Drosophila melanogaster: one gene and its partners. The protein of the gene in region 2 interacts with the protein of the main gene of each other region in a pairwise test. Each region holds a gene or a part of one and is shown on either strand. Other genes may lie near its edges. The genes, in order: teq, CG17377 and sol.

What was found.
Region 1: the proteins of CG17377 (region 2) and teq interact in a two-hybrid assay, tested with the Drosophila melanogaster proteins (one large-scale study listed by BioGRID).
Region 3: the proteins of CG17377 (region 2) and sol interact in a two-hybrid assay, tested with the Drosophila melanogaster proteins (one large-scale study listed by BioGRID).

The regions. Positions count from the first base shown.
Region 1 is NT_037436.4:9,072,910-9,076,662, reverse strand, and holds the start of teq (tequila), read right to left. Parts: upstream 2,021-3,753; 5' UTR 1,885-2,020; coding exon 1,834-1,884; intron 1,600-1,833; coding exon 1,041-1,599; intron 992-1,040; coding exon of another isoform or gene 797-991; intron 644-796; coding exon of another isoform or gene 398-643; intron 345-397; coding exon of another isoform or gene 1-344. Other genes in the region: CG4942 (uncharacterized protein), read right to left, coding at 2,344-2,934, 2,992-3,456.
Region 2 is NT_033779.5:6,800,769-6,804,472, forward strand, and holds CG17377 (uncharacterized protein), read right to left. Parts: upstream 2,022-3,704; 5' UTR 1,940-2,021; intron 1,887-1,939; 5' UTR 1,870-1,886; coding exon 1,843-1,869; intron 1,780-1,842; coding exon 1,183-1,779; 3' UTR 1,085-1,182; coding exon of another isoform or gene 1,083-1,084; 3' UTR 940-1,082; exon of another isoform or gene 938-939; intron 883-937; coding exon of another isoform or gene 872-882; 3' UTR 610-871; downstream 1-609. Other genes in the region: Daao2 (D-amino acid oxidase 2), read left to right, coding at 2,284-2,486, 2,542-2,754, 2,824-3,120, 3,178-3,490.
Region 3 is NC_004354.4:21,348,491-21,352,243, forward strand, and holds the start of sol (small optic lobes), read left to right. Parts: upstream 1-1,789; 5' UTR 1,790-2,118; coding exon 2,119-2,360; intron 2,361-3,144; exon of another isoform or gene 3,145-3,271; coding exon of another isoform or gene 3,272-3,276; intron 3,277-3,369; coding exon 3,370-3,753. Other genes in the region: peng (penguin), read right to left, coding at 1-214, 816-1,261. UniProt on the Drosophila melanogaster protein: Has a role in eye development. Calcium-regulated non-lysosomal thiol-protease.

The DNA of each region.
Region 1 (3,753 bases), on a different chromosome or scaffold from region 2:
TTGGCACCTGACATAGTGGCCAGCATGGAATGGATAAGGGTAATTCTTCTGGACATTGGGTGGACACGATCTAAGTGAAGACAGCTGGCTTTGAACATTTCCCCGTAAGTCTTGAGAAGTATAAGTGGTCTGAACTTGGACTTCCTGCCAGAACTGCACCCGATCAGATATGTGCACTTGATGACTTGGAAGACAACTTCTTTGGGATACACTGAATGCCATCTGGGGGCCACAACTTAGGATGGACATTCTGCCACCAGACGAGCACTGAACGTACTTTTTAGCATCGTAGGGATACAAGAAGATGCCGTTGATGTTACCAGGACAGGCATTAAGGATAAGTGCTAGTAAAATATTATCATAAATTCTAGTGTACAGTGATGATAAAGTAACTTACAATACTCATAGCTGATTTCGGAGATAATTAATGTGACATAGTCGGTAAAGGCTAATTGTGCTTTTAACTGACAGTAGCGCCTCGATATGCTAAACACATAATTAGGTTGGCAGTTTTGCACAGCCGATTTACCATCCTTACAACTAAGGAATTTTGTTTGATCAAAGGGATGAACAAATTGGCCAACGGCTCCCACTGGACACAAGAGATAGTTGACCTGAATCTCAGCCGACGTGAAGGAGGAAGCTGTTACAATTCAAAGGGATCAGGATTAGAGTCTATCAACTAAGCAGGCAAGCAAAGCGTGTACAGCGTAATATGAGAAAATAACCCGAAATGAAAAAGCAGATGAATCAAGCGAGGCCAAGCAGTAGGGATAAGAAATGAAATGACACTTACAGGAGGTCCGAGGGGAGTCAGAATACACACATACCGAAGAGGAGCCATCGAAGATGTGGCCCCGTGGACACTGTTCCACCTGAGGCTTAACCCCAATTCCGCACCTCAAATACTTGTGCACGTCGTGCGGATGTGGACGAAGCCCACGTGTACCGGGTGGACAGCCCAAGTCATCAAAAGGCAACGCAGGGTAGCCTAACCGAGTGTTAGTCAAGATTTTTGTATTTAAATCACTCATACGTACCGGTGCCGGAGGTATCATCTCGTACTGCTCCAGTTCCCGATCCGCATTTGGCCAAATCCTTGTGCACACATACCAGTGATGCTGGACTAAAAGCAGTTCCTGGTGCGCAGTCCATAATAAAAGCTTGACCATTGGCGCAGTTAAGAAACTTGCTGCAATCCGAAGGATGCGGTTGCAATCCATTCACTCCCGGTTGACACTTGGGTTCACTATCTAATTGCCTAAGTCTTCCCAGTCGAGTAGATGCAGATTCCGCTGAAGGGCAAACCACATTGCTGGGATGATCGCACACCTGGGTCCTGTCATTGAACAGAGTTCCGGGCGAACACGTCTGAATGGTGGGGCTGCCATCGAAGCAGTTCACATAGCGATGACAGTCGTGGGGATATGCAACCAGACCCGTAAAATGCGGCGGGCATGCCGAATCCCGATGGTAAATAGGCTGCTGCTGGTCGCCTCCGTAACTCGAGTGTGCGTTCCCTGTTGCTGATAAGCCAACTGGTTCCGACTGCTCGCTGTGGTAGCCACTGCCTGATCGATAAGCTTTAGCCCCGGGTCGCTGTCAAAAGCGCAATTATGAAATATTATTGAACAACCGTAAGTAATTAGAGGCAAAATTTAGCTAATAGCTTGTAATTAAGTTCAATTAAAATTAAAGTCTTAAGCGCGTTTTAAATTCCTAAACAACATTTTTAGTTTGACTAAAATCTTAAAAAATTGTAAATAATCTAGAATCTAGATGATATCCTTAAAAAACACAATTTGAAATTATTAATAAACTTTCTACACTAACATCCACTAGCAGGATCGCCAGCCAAAGGCCAAGGAGCCACTTGGCCATCATTTTACGTTTCCGCTTTATAAGTATTTGAATTTAAATATTTCTTAAAATGCACCGATGCTGATAGCAACTACACAATTGTTTTTCTCGCGCTTTAAATTCTTCGTTGTGATCCCGTTCGAATTCCAGGCTCGACTGACCCACACCCAGATCGCATTTCAATTCAATTGGACTCGGGATGAATCTCTATCTCTGCCGCCGCTGATAGATGCTCTCGTTTGTCGCCAAACCAATTGAGTGGACCACACTATCAGGGCTTGTAATCTCAAGACCTTTTTGCTGTCTTATCGCCTTGTTTTGTTTGCATTTCTTTTGGGGTTTTTCACTCATTTATTTACTTCTATGAATCTGAGATGTTGGAGCTTAAGAATGATGATGATGAATTACAGTGGCGCAGTCGCATTTAAACAAACTAAACGTCATACCCAAATTAGACTAGGTGATTATGACTAAGAGACTAGATCATTTGGCTGCCGGCTTATCAGCCGGCGCCCTCTCGGCAAGTCTTAGCCTCTGCTGTATTTTTAGCCAGAGCAGATCGTACGGCTCACTGAGTTCCGTTTGTGTTTTGGGAATTCCCACAGATCGTCGCACTTCCGGCGAGAGGATGAGCAGATTTTGAGCAAGGCCAAAACTGCTGGAAGCTACCCAGTATACACATAAAGCTGAAGGCACTGTACAGGCTACTGGAACCATCACAACACTCAATCCACGGAACACATTGTTGGCGATGTTCTGCAAGCGTGTAGAAGGACGAGTTCTAGACATGGCTTGCACTTCAATGATGGCCAAATTGATAAGACCTAATGCTACAGGCAGGATATAAGAGTTATCCACCACCGTAAGGTTTGGTATCCAACCAAATCCGCCAATGGTCATTTCGGTGGTCACGATTTGAGCTTGAATGGACGTGGGATCCGGCAGCATGTACACTAAATTGCGCAGAGCCACGGATTGAAAGATCCACAGGGGAATCTGACCCCATAGCACAATCATGGTCTTCATGGGATGGCAGTTATCCCGAACTATAAGGTTCTGCCACTGCTTCTTGATCTGTAAGATAATTGACATGACGAAGAGTGTCTCGCAAACATTTGAATTTTAACAAACCGAACGCCGATAAACAATCTGAGTCTGCTTTTCGCTCCACTTGAACTTGTGCTTGGCCATGGCTGCCTCTTTTTTCAGTTCCTCCACAATGGCCGGCATCTCCAGCGCTATCTTTTCAATTCTGGCGGTGATTTTGTGCTGGTAAATGGTCAGAGGCAGGGTGACCACGCTCCGAAAAAGGAAAGTGGACAGCACGATGGACGCCCACCAGGGCAGGCCACTGTAGTCGTGGATCTTAATGAGAACATCCTGCATATAGGCCACCGGCGTGCTGTTGGACAAGGTCTGCCAATATCCCACCAATCCACCGGCATTTGCCAGTTGGACACTCGCGGCCGCCGCTTCTGTAGACGACAGACGATGATTGCATGTGTGATTCGCAATAGTTGTTCCTTGGTATGTGTATTTGTAGATGCCAGCAATTGATGAACTTCTACAGGTGCGTAAAAGAAGCAAAGCTGACATTTTTAATTAATATAAAACTAATAATCAACGTAAACAACTATATAGAATCAGCAGTGCGAGTTGTTATCATTGTGAACAGCTGATTGTTACCATAACACGGCTTCAATCAGTGTGGCCGTAGCTAGGCATTGTAGTTGCATTAACCCTTAACTTACGATGCTTTTTTTGCTATCCGAAATTAGGAAACATTGAAATGCAGTTATTAATTTGAAATCATTTAATCGTTGATAAGAGAACAATAACAAAATTTATACAGTCATTTTATACGACAGCAACACTTTTATTTCCTTTGCATTT
Region 2 (3,704 bases):
TTATCGAAAAAGTAAATTTGGAATTTAGAAAAAAATTTAGAAGTCGAAGCGACTGGTCCGAGAGTCAGATATCGAATGAGGTTAGCTGTTCCCTTGGCCCAGCACATCCAGTTCAAGTTTCGGTTCGGGTTGGCTTAAAAGTCATGGCCAACTTTATGAAATTTCATGGCCTACTTCGACTTAGCAAAGATTATGAAATCGCCACAGATCTACATAATTATATATCTATATTTGCCTTATTCACTAAAACAAAATATTTGACCCGCGAATTGTTTAGGTCAACTAACTCACTAAGATTGGAACATGGCTCTCCCAGCTCGAAAAAATGGGTTTAAAACAAAGTACTATCAGCAAAGTTCAACTTTTAATTAATTAAATCTTAAATGCCACGGAAACCCACCCTAATAAAATTGATATTAATTAATATAAATATCAGAATATCTGTGGGACATATGAACGTAAATTTTTATGGCCTTGGCATAAGGTTTCAACCTTAATTTACAATTCTAATGCCAGGCTTAAAATATAAATATTCGAAGCATAAGTGCAGCCATAAAATAAACGCAACCTTTAACACCCCCCATAATACACAGAATATAATTTCAATTTGTTTATTTGTAATTTAATGCCAAATAGATTCCAGATACCAACATATGATTTTGTGTTTAAATCAAGACCGTCTGACGAATTGCACATGGGTTCCCAAATAGCTTCGAGCCCTTCTAGTAATGGGTATTCCGCAGCTGGCTAAATCTTGATTTAAGCCAACTTCAATTTTTTATCAACCAAAACTACGTCACAAAACGACAACATGTCCCGCCAAGGAAGTGGCCCATATCAGGATCCGATCGAAACACTTGCCAGGAAATACTTATAAGCCACCTGTGGGATGAGAAAGGTAAAACCAGTGAATGCAGAAGGTATCGCAGTTACTTACACGCGACAGGATGCGGATGGAGGTCAAAGGGTCATGAAGGATTTGGGGCCTGGCAACAGCATTTGGTCCATGGATCCTACCTCTACGCTCACAAAGCCCAGGACATGCTATCATTGTTGACGGATCAGCGTAGTGGGCATAAAGCTCCTGCAAAAGGACATGAAGCGTCACCACAAGCACATGTTCCAGATGCTGTGACCTGCAAAGTCCTTGGGCATGCCTCGTGCTCCTCCGCTCCATGGTTTTTACGTTCTACGGACGCCCAGCGCCGTGACAGATGGACAAGCAGACGGACAGACAGGCGGACAGGTGGACGGACCTGGACCGGACTTACATGGGTACGTCACAGGTGCGTTATAGTAGTTCCAGACACGCGGATCGGGAATGCCGCCTTCAGGCAGCGGAGGGCAGCACATGCCCGGAGCAGAGGAGCAAGGAATGGGCGACGGAGCTCCGCATGGAGGACTGTGCGGGCCACAGCATGGAAGACTGTGCGAGCCACAGCATGGAGGACTGTGCGGGCCACAGCAGGGCGATACATTACAGCAGCAGGGACCGCATCCACAGCAGCCGCCGGCAACGCGTCCACCGCATCCGGCACCGCCATTTGGTGCTCCAGTGGCGGCACAGCGCATACGCTTATTGTTCACGCCCATCATCATGTTAGCGTAGCGCAGCGGGAATGCCGCCGGACCGCAGGTGGGGAAGGGGAAGCACAGGCAGGCCGGTCGGCCCTGGCAGGCGGACCGCGGGCACTTGTCCTGCAGACCGTTCCGCTTCACGCAGTCGCAAGTGGTGTACATGATGCCGCATCGTAACTCCCGACTGCGGCATCCGCGCGGCTGGAAAGGATGCATACATAGTGGTCACAAGTGGTCAGTGGTGTGTTGCATATGGTTACTCACCTCCAACGATCCACATCCGTCACACATCTTGAGCCCGTCGAGCGCTACAGGACAAAGGATTTAAAAATATACTATGGTCTTCCCGGGATAAACTTACTCTATTTGGTCAAATTAATTTGGAAGAAAAATTTGGAATTTGGAAAATTTAGAAGCTGGCCGAAACGAAAGGTCCGAGAGTTTGGTATCGAATGAGGAATGATCAACACATCCCAACACACATATTCGGTTCCGTTTGAGATGAAATGCAAGGCCAACTTGTTGGAATTATAGCCTACTAGATTTTAAGAAAGAGTTAATATTAGATTCAAAATGCAAAAAGCTTTTTCGCTCTTTTTAAAAGCTCTGTTATCAGCTAATTGTATTATGCGATTTGCTTACAATTCTGATAAGCGATCCTCTTTTCAGTTCATTCCAAGTTCCCAAGCTGATCGGATTGGAGCAATGCCTAACATTGCAGTTATCGGTGCCGGGGTTAATGGTGTTGCCAGTGCCATTAAGATACTGGAACACTATGTGAACGATGGAAAGACACCCATAAAGGTGACGATCATATCGGAGGACTTCACGCCTAACACAACTGGAGATGGTTCGGCTGGTCTCTGGGGTCCGTACCTTCTGGGCGGCACTTCGCAGGCGAAAGTCTAGTAAGTTTTACTAGTCACTATATTATATTCTTACTTATAACTTTTTTTCCATCAGCAAGTGGTCGAAGAGCATGCACCAATTTTTGGAGAAGATCTGGCTGAGCGAGGATGCCGGAGAGGCTGGCGTTTGTCTGCTACCCTGCATTCGGCTGAGCACCTCAACGGTGGACACGGTCGAAGATTTTTGGCGTGACATTGTCTATGGAGCAGTGGATCTGTCCAAGGAACAGCTGGCTGCCTACAATAAAGGTCGCAGCGTTAAGTTCACGTAAGAATATTCATAGATATCCATAGATTTATACTTGCTGAAATATGAACATATCTAAACCATATCTAGGTCTGGTTTATCCTTTGTTACCTACACCTCGGAGCCCATTAAGCTACTGCCGTATTTGATGAAGCGTTTCACCCGAAATGGAGGTGTTGTTGTCCGGAAAAGGATTACAGACCTGGATGCATTTGTAGCCGATTCCGAGTACGATGTGATAGTCAATTGCTCCGGATTGGGCTCTAAGACCCTACTAAACGACGATCAAATGTACGCAGTGCGTGGCCAAGTTTCCCGGGTGAGGGCCAACTGGATTTTCTCTGCCGTGCTGGACGAGAGTGATGATGGCAACTATATTATACCCAAGTGAGTATTTGCCAGTTACACTTATTTGTTCGTATTCCAATATCTGAAATATTTAAGCACCGAAAGTGTTGTCCTGGGCGGAACCCATCAGGAGCGGGACTACAACACTAAAGTCTGCCAGAACGACAGGCGGATGATCGTCGATGGCTGTCAGCGGTACATTCCTGGTTTGGAGCACACGGAGTGCCTCTTTGATTGGGTAGGTCTCCGGCCGGGTCGCACCCAACTCCGACTGGAAGCCGAGCGCCGCGGCCGCAAGCTCCTCATCCACAACTATGGACATGGCGGCAGTGGAGTCACTTTGTGCTGGGGCTGTGCCGACGATGTCCTCAATATCCTGTTGGCCGCCAAGAACGGTTCCAAATTATAAGTCAGTTGGAAAGATTATTATTTTAGTTCTATAACAAAATTGGTAGTGTAAAGGTAACAGCATTTAAAAGCATCTCTTTATCTACATAATAAACATTTTAATATATTTCATTACACTTAGCAATTTCTATATGGAAAATGTTATAAAATTGAATTGAATGCTGTACTACGTTTTGATTGGGTCAATGCAAGCATATTTTTGCCTGTGTAGGCAG
Region 3 (3,753 bases), on a different chromosome or scaffold from region 2:
GCAGAACTGGGCGTATTTCGACTGGCACATCTCCACGGTGAAGGGAAGCAGCTTCTCAGAGATCTCGGCCCGCAGAGCTGGCGACGCGTACTTTAGCATGCTCTGGATCACGCGGGCGGTGTCGTGGGCCTTCACCACCTTTGAAATAGTGTCGCCCACGTTGAGCACCTTGTATATCTGCTCCACCAGCTTGTCCTTGTTCTCCGTTCGGCGGCTGCAAGACAAGCACCAAATTATGTTGATATATATATATCAGAGCAATAGGATTTGCGCATTCATTAGTTGTAATTTTACGAAAAAAAAAAAAAACGCGACAGAGGATAGAGCTGGTTTGTTTATGACCAAACAAAACAGCATGCGCTAAATAGGCGTCTTTGGAATCTACGCTCTTGGTTCTAACTCAACATTTATACAGAAATACAAGGCTATATTAACTTAGTTTTGATACTGATCAAAATGCTTAACTAGCTATTATTGTTTCAAGAACATGAATAAAATGTTTGGTGTTTTTGAATTCGAACCAAGTGGCAATGTTCGGTTTTTCCACGAACAGGTGCTTCGTTTTGGGATCCACATGGCCATGTTTATCGATATCTTGTCCTTTAAGGAACCAAAATGACTTATAATTATTAAAACTATATCGTATAGATTGATGCCTTATGAAATTTAAACAACTTTGTACGTTCTGAATGTACATAAGTGCATGAAAGAGCCCGATTTTGTTGAGCTATCATAATTTGTATAGGTAATTTGAGCGCTAAGGATGATAATAACCGATTGTTTGGGCTGTTCATCGTGTTTTTGGGGATGCTCACCATCGCAACTTCTCGTGGATCTGGTTGGCCTCCTTGCTGATCTCGTAGGTGTCCTTGGCACTCTTGCGCTTCAGCTTGAGGTCCTTCTTCTCCTTCTTGAACTTGTTCCAGTCCTGTTTCTCGCCCTCCGCCGGCGCCTGTGGCTGTGTTTGTGGTTTTCCGCGGAACTTGTTGCCACCAAGCCTCTTGTCGCCGGTGGCTCCGGATTTGTCAAACTTCTTGAAGCCACCGGGCCCAGACTTGTCGAACTTCTTGGCACCACCAGCGCCTGGCTTTACAAACGACTTGCCTGCTCCTCCGCCGAATTTGTCGAACTTCCTGGCGCCTCCTGCTCCACCGGGCTTAAACTTCTGTCCGTTGGCGCGCTTGCCGGACGATTCATGGGCCTTGAGGGGCGAGGCCGTGTTGGCCACGTTAGCAGGTCCTTTCGGCTCCGAGCTAACCATCTTTGCTGCGTTTTCTTGGACACTACAACTAAATAACAGCAAATGTTTTTGCCAAAAAAGCGAACTACACGTGCTGCTGATGCAGAGTGACCAGATTGTTGCAGTATACCCAAGCTGTGTAAATACCAAAATCTGGTATTTTCGTTCCACATACAGTAAGTATCAATGAAGTGCTTCTATTTGTTTAAAATTTAACTCAAGTTAATGCGTTCAGTTCAATTTGACTTTCCATTTGAAAGCGGCTAAAAAATAATAATCCATGTCTAAATATTAAATTTAAACTCTTCCTAAACTAAGCTCCTCAATGTTGATTACTTGTTATAGAAGGTCAAATAATTTTATGCATGTATTTGCGTCGTTTTATGAATATATGTATGTATTCATTCCCAAAAACATATTAGAATTGGTCTAAAAATTGAAGGTACCGATTTTTCATTAACGGCACTTGCCAACACTGGCTTTGCGGGGTAGCAGCCGTGTTTCTCGCGCTGGCAACCCTGTCCGGCAGAGTTCACGCACTCGGGCAACCTTGTCGTTGGAGGTGTTCGCGAACGTCGACAACCCTAGCGGCAACAGTTAAAAAATGGTGTGAAACGGCGACGGAGAACGCGGCGTGCAACTGTTGGAAGCCACTGCTTGGTCCTCGTTTTGGTCCCGGGTTCTGGTCCTCCTATTGATCTCCATCTCCGCCCGGCCACCAGCTCGAAAGCGCACCTACACATCATAGTTTCCATAGACAGTCCCAGTTCCACATCCACTCCCCCGCCAGCCAGCCAACAACAACAAAAACAACAACAGCAAGAGAAACAACTCAGAAGTCGAAAGGAATCTGGGAACTCCTGCGACTCCCCCGCGCAATGGGCACCATCTCATCCGTGCTGCAGTGGTCGTGCACCAAATGTAACACTATCAATCCCACGGAGTCGCTCAAGTGCTTCAATTGCGGCACCGTCCGCAAGGTGTTCCCCCAACAACAGCAGCAGCAGCATCGCAGCAGCAGCATCACCGCCTCCTGGACAGCTGATGATGCACTGGAGCAGGAGCAGGCGGAGAAGGGGCAGGAGAGGGACAAGGAGAAGGGCAGGGCGGCGGTTGCCAGGTAAGCGAAGCGGTCGCCACAAAAACAAACAGCCTGTATGCCTCCTCTGCGAGGATGTGCCTGTGTGTGTCTGTGTCTGTATGCGTGTGTGTGTGTGTGTATGTGGGCGCCAGTGGTGGCATCCAATTGGAGGACAAAAGCGCTAGCTAAAATCATGTCGCATATGGTAATGTGTATAGAAATCGGTGGCGTTTTCAAATCCAACTTTTTTCGCACACACATTGTATGCACACTTTGGAAAATATACAAATACACAAATATGTACATACTTTCATCGGTAAAATTCGTCAATCAAAAACCTTAACTTTCAAAGAATAATAATACCAAAAGCTTACCAACGTAAGCTCCTATGCTGAACTTTAATATCCAAAGAGCAGACCGAGTAAATCTTAGTAAATTTTATAGTTCTCACTAACCCTTTTGTGCATAATGAAACTTAAAGAATAAGAAAACAATGAAATCGGTTAGGAAAATCCTGATTAACTATCCATAGGAATAACTCGAATGGGAGTATAGGAATAAGTTGAAAGATTTTTATATTACGAACTTAAGTTTCGAAAGGCTAGGAAAAGGTACAGTGTGTACAAGTACACAGTTCAAAAGTCTAGCTTTAAAAGCCAAGCCGTCGGCACTGGTGATTGTCCCTGAGCGTGTGTGTGTGTGTGTGTGTGTGTGTGCGCGAGTGTGTGTATGTGAGAGCATGTATACACAGCAGAGGCAGAAGCAACAACAAAACAGCCGAGGAGCAGCGAGAATTGGGGAAAATCGATTTGGATAAAGAAGCATTGTTTACAAGTTTATCGATTCGCGAACTCGCTCGGCGATCTGAAGAGCAAAAGAGGTGTAGGAACAACTTCCGAGTCGAGCGGACGAGCGGAGAGTAGGAAAATGGCCAGTCATTGAGATAACCTTTGCGGTCAGGAAGTGGGGAAAGCCCAAACAGCTCAAGAACACCGAATCCCATCCAAACCCGACGAAAAACGAAAAACCCCATTTCCCTATTTTGCAGGAGCGAGTACAAGCATGTGTACAAGTCCCTGCTGCGCGGATGCTTGAAAAGACCACAGCGGAACAGCCAGAATCTGCCCGCCAACTGCGTGGATTGCGAGGACACGCGCAAGTACATCAAGAGCTCTATTGAGCTGTACCGCCACTTCTCGAATCCGGCCCTGAATCGGCGGTGGGTGTGCCACGCCTGCGGCACGGACAACAGCTCGGTCACCTGGCACTGCCTCATCTGCGACACGGTCAGCTATCTGGCGCCCATTTACAAGGACGCCATCGCCGCCGACCGAGGCCAGGATCTGGCTGGCAGCCTGGGCAATCGCGGCGAGCTGCTGGCGGCGGACCATTCACATCCACATCATCATCACCACTACCTCCACCAGGAACT